Linked DNA regions of Kluyveromyces lactis. The protein of the gene in region 1 purifies or fractionates together with the protein of each later gene. This does not show direct contact. Links are inferred from orthologs where the notes say so. Each region holds a gene or a part of one and is shown on either strand. Other genes may lie near its edges. The genes, in order: TIM22 and TIM10.

Region 1 (2,817 bases):
AGTTAAGGACCTACAGACAACTATTTAATGCATCCGAATAAGCTTCACAGATGTTTTTAATGTCATACCCTCATCATCTGCAAATTTATCAGTCGAGGTTGAAATAGCGAGGGTGTTTGGATCAACAGGATTCGTTGCAATGCAATTCACCCTTACATTCTCATCTGAAATAAGAATGTTATTCGTTGGCTTTATTCCAGTACCAGCGGTTTGAAGTGGGTCCAACCCACCAAATTCAATGCAATCTTTGTCCCAGCATGCAACCTGACCATCGTACGATCCAATTAACAAACCTTTGGCACTGTTCAAGGATGCCTTGAATTTCTGCTTACCAATTTTGAATGGAAGTTCCAGTATATTAATTCTAGATTTTAACATTCGTGTATCAATAACATCGATTTCTCTTGCATTACGTTTAATACAGTACAAATAATGTCCGTTATCCGACTTAATGACTTGGTAGATTCCATTTGACCACGAGTCCAATGAATCACGCTCACTTATTAGTTCAGATTTAGTACTTCTAGTATCAATTCGTAGCACTTCTGTTTTATAAGTACCAGCAAACCTGACATTGTCATGTACCTCGTTATATTCATCAAAGCATGATACGATAGCCTTCTGTGATGACTTCCCGCATGATTGTTTTGTCCACTGATGTTGCCATATCGGTTTATGTCGGTTGTAATCATACATAGTTATCCTGTTTCTAACAGATCCAGTCATGAAATGCATAGTGTCTTGAAGTATTGTCATTGAATAAGCCGTTTCAAAGGCTTCATTTTCTTCGTTAACAGTAGAGTAATGGTATAAACTTGTTTCATTGATGCTGTCCGATCGTAATGAGTACAATTTTATGGGCAGATCTCTTGAAGAACAAAGTATAGTTTGATATGCTGAATCCTCTTCATACAGTGAGTATCTAGGGTGGACGACAGAGGAAATAATGGAACCATTCACAAACCATCGTGTGAAAGGAACCCAATGATCTACAAGTGGATCTTCTGGTATAAGATACTGTCGTATTCCAAAATCATCAAAAACGCCGCAAATAGAAGTACCATCATGAGACCAAGTCAGCTGAGAACAAATCACAGGACAATACCGCTCAACGCTATGGAAATACGAACGATGCAGCTTTGGAAATTCGTAATTCTTTGCATATGCTGAAAATTTTCGAGATAATTCTTCTTCGAGAGACCATAATGAATTACAATTTGTCCCATAGTAGCAGTCTAATGTGCTGGCTATCGTTTGCATTATCAAAAGGTCTCATATTCCGCATACAGTTGCTTAAAATGCTGCCTTCTGTGCATGCGATGAGGCATTCTGTCAATATTGACATATTGACAGAGTTGAAGCTTATTCTTATCGAAAGAAAAAAAGCTTTGGAATAGCTAATATCAAAAGCTCATCGAAAATAATATTGAAATAAATATATACATCGTTGAACAGAGTAGTAAAAGGACACCGTGAAGTATTGGATAGTTGTGGAAGATTAGCTACTGTTGAAGTAAGAAACGTTAAAATAAAATGGTGTATCGTGGGTTTGGTTTAGACCAAGTTTCTCCACCAGAGAATAAACCATTTGATCAACTTTCGCCTGAAGAACAAGGTGAAAAAGGTGCCCAAATGATGGTGGAGTTTATGACTTCTTGTCCTGGAAAAGCTGCCATCAGTGGTGTTACTGGTTTTGCATTAGGTGGTGTTTTCGGTTTATTTATGGCATCGATGGCGTATGACACACCTCTACATACGCCAGCTCCAACCAATGCTCCAGGTTTACCAAATAAAGTGAAAGAGCTTGCAGATCTACCGTTGAAACAGCAGATAAAGATCCAGTTTAGTGATATGGGAAAAAGATCCTACTCCAGTGCAAAGAATTTCGGTTACATCGGTATGATTTATTCAGGTGTCGAATGTGTGGTGGAATCGTTAAGGGCAAAGAACGATATATATAACGGTGTAGCTGCAGGTTGTTTGACAGGCGGTGGCTTGGCATACAAGAGTGGACCTCAGGCAGCATTAGTGGGTTGTGCGGGTTTTGCTGCCTTCTCTACGGCCATTGATTTATACATGAGAAACGAGAATAAGAAACCACCCAAGGATGACTTCGATGAATGATCAGTTTATATTTTTGAAACTCTAAGCATTAAGCGTCCGTTCTTTGTACATTAGATAGACTCCAGGTCATGATATCTATGAACTTTACATGTAAATACGTGCATTTATATATCAATTCAGTCTTTATCATAGGTAATGATACACCCATACATTGCAAAGTACGAGAATAATGATACAACTTAACCATATCACTGGTTCATAGGTCATTGATTTGCCAATTAAAGTTTCTTTGTCCTGCAAAATATCGATCAACCGATCTAGCTTGGCACTAGTGTCCTTCAATTGGGATTCCAATGTAGTTATTTCACTAGATTGAAACACTTTGCGGGAAATTTTTCTTTGACTTTCAAAAGACGGTGCTTCTAATACCCTCTTGGCCTTATTCACAGGCTCTGCTTTAGTCTGTCGTACCTTTGCGTTCGATATTATAGTATTCCATCTGGATTCGAGGTCACGACCAACTTCCATTTTTTGCTGAGGGTCAAGATAAGGTAAGGGCAATGGATCACCAAGCTTCTCTTTCAGTTGTCTTCGTTTTGGAAATGTATTTGACTTCTTTGGGGTATTATGCTGGGACAGTTGTACAATGCTTTGTTTAGATCGCAGCTTCGGCATAAACTGTGGGTTAACTTCATCATCAAACGTTTCGCTGGAGCTTACAGACCCCGGAGTAGTAACATTACTCGATGATTT
Region 2 (2,543 bases), on another chromosome or scaffold:
TGCTCTTTAATGCCTGTAATATATTGGATTTCTTCTTCTTATTGTTACCATTTCTGTGTTTACCACTTCTATTATTGCTATCATCATTGTCGTTATTATTGATGTTATTGGTACTATTATTATTGTTACTGTTGTTGTTACTCGATCCCTTCGGCTTCTGAGATAATGGCGTCCCTGTCATAGCATTTATTGGATCATGCACTGGCGGCTCCTGAAACGTTATATTTCCATTACTATCCTTAAGAATGACTGGTCCAATAGGTTCTGTCGATGGTTCTTGGGACGGTGATGAAGATATTGAGGATGTACTTTTCGTTGGATAATCATCACTTGGAATAATCCGTCTCTTTTTCAGATTATAATCCACATTGGCAGTACCTGACCGTTTGGGCCTCGTTACCTCCATATTTTTTGTCATGAAGCCGGAAAGTAGATGTACTGGCACGTAATTTTTTTAGCCGGTACTTTCCCCTACTCGTTGTTTCGCGTTGAACCATAATTTAATTCAATTGTTAGATGCGTTCAATTAAATTTGTATCGCACTTTTTTATTTTTTTTCTGTATTCCAATATCACGAACCTTCGATAGTTGAAGTCGTATACACATACCAGCTATATCAATGATAATGGAATCAAAATGTATATAGTTACGGGAACAGGCTGAGGCGTCACCAGTCACATTAAAATAATAGAAGCAACCATGGACGACGAATTGAGAGCCATTAGAGAGGCCAGATTGAGGGAATTGAAGCAACAAAGTGGAGGAACATCAGAATCAGCAAACAACGGATCGAATGATGGTCAAACACAAGCGATATTGAATCAGATTTTGGATTCCAATGCACAAGAAAGATTGAGCAGGGTAGCGTTGGTGCGGCCAGAACGTGTAAAGGCAGTAGAAGCTTATTTACTACAAATGGTGCGGTCCGGTGCTATTAGAAACAAATTAACAGAGCAGGACATCGTTGGAATCCTCGAATCAGTCGGAAGAGATGAGCAAAAGCGCAATACTACACGTATTATATTCGATAGAAGAGAAAAAGGAACAGCATCATCTAGTGTGGATCAAGATGACGATGAAGACGATGATTTCTTTGACTAGTTATCTGTCTTCAATATATCAGGTTTTAACAGAGAAAGAAAGTAAGATATACATGCATATATAATTACAACGAATGAGAACTCAATCCTCATAAGTACCAAATAATTGCAAGAATCGGTAGTTCCAAAGGTTCAATGACTACTATAGGTCAATGCTCCCTCTGTCAAATCAATACATGTCCAAATCACGTGCATGTGACCGGGTAACGTATATTTCCTCATATTTCTGAAAATTTTCAGTATAGCAACTATTCGTCAGGAATTGCAGTTCACTAAAATTTAACTAATAGCAGTTAAATGCGTTGACAACTAGACTGTTGTTTGATCTGTAAATATTTATTGACGTAGTTTATCGTAGTGATTAGTCTTCTATTCATAGCCACAGGAATACCACTCCTACAATAACAACATATAAAAATCATCTTCTAAGAAATGTTCGGTCTAGGCGGTCAACCTCAATTATCTTCTCAACAAAAGCTATCAGCAGCTGAAGCTGAACTAGATTTGGTTACTGACATGTTCAACAAGTTGGTCGACAACTGTCACAAGAAATGTATTGAACAAATTTATAACGATGGTCAACTAAACAAGAACGAATCTACTTGTATCGACAGATGTGTTGCCAAGTACTTTGAAACTAACGTTAAGGTTGGTGAAAACATGCAACAGCTAGGCCAAGCTTTCTCTCCAGGTAAATTCTAAACCCGATGAGGGAAGCTTAAGCCGGGACGTTAGTGCATAATCTTTTTCGCAACTTTTCACGTTTTATCATGTACATATATGACAAATTTTGTATATACAAATATATTATATATATATATTAATTATCTATTTACAGAGTTTTAAAAATGAGGTAATGTCGGAGTACCAAACGATTAGGTTTGTGTATCTCGATCAAACCGATAAATATAGAGATATAAATGTATTTGCTAATACCGTGATGTGTTTTTGTCCATTATCTTCCCTTAGGATTGAAAATTTGGACGATCCCTTCTGTCTTTAAAATCCTAGCATTTTCATAACGCGTAATTTACAACCTTCAAAAGTATTCACTTTTGGTCTAACGTCCAAATATATTGGAGGAAGGTGGTTCTTTTCAGGTTCTGGATTCGAATAGAAGTCGATGACATAATCTATTTGTTTCCCGCAGCGATCGACGACCCAATCGTGCCTATCAAAAGGTTTGGTCATTCCAAGGATTGAGGATCTAAACCATGCTCTTGGGGTTAACTTCTTTGAATCGCCTTTGAAACTAGTCAATTTGATGCCACCACAGACATCTCCCCCTTGTCCGTCTTCCCAAATTTTGATATAATTCCATACTCTTTCATTAACGGAATTGTGGATGGGAACAACGGCTTTCATATCCACAGCTTCGGGATCCCAATTTTTTCTCTTCATTGCCTCGAAGAATTGCTTCTCTGATGGATAAACCCAATTATC

Evidence for each region.
Region 2: the proteins of TIM22 (region 1) and TIM10 purify together in Saccharomyces cerevisiae (affinity purification with western blotting; 4 studies listed by BioGRID, with this or other methods). This does not show direct contact. The link is inferred for Kluyveromyces lactis from reciprocal best matches to the Saccharomyces cerevisiae genes TIM22 and TIM10.

The regions. Positions count from the first base shown.
Region 1 is NC_006040.1:726,686-729,502, forward strand, and holds TIM22 (translocation channel protein TIM22), read left to right. Parts: upstream 1-1,533; coding exon 1,534-2,124; downstream 2,125-2,817. Other genes in the region: COP9 signalosome catalytic subunit RRI1, read left to right, coding at 1-41; SWT21 (Swt21p), read right to left, coding at 25-1,260; KAR1 (Kar1p), read right to left, coding at 2,251-2,817. UniProt on the Saccharomyces cerevisiae protein: Essential core component of the TIM22 complex, a complex that mediates the import and insertion of multi-pass transmembrane proteins, such as mitochondrial carrier family members, into the mitochondrial inner membrane.
Region 2 is NC_006042.1:2,402,917-2,405,459, forward strand, and holds TIM10 (protein transporter TIM10), read left to right. Parts: upstream 1-1,532; coding exon 1,533-1,802; downstream 1,803-2,543. Other genes in the region: RCO1 (Rco1p), read right to left, coding at 1-418; SDD2 (Sdd2p), read left to right, coding at 700-1,101; cytochrome c1 heme lyase CYT2, read right to left, coding at 2,100-2,543. UniProt on the Saccharomyces cerevisiae protein: Mitochondrial intermembrane chaperone that participates in the import and insertion of multi-pass transmembrane proteins into the mitochondrial inner membrane.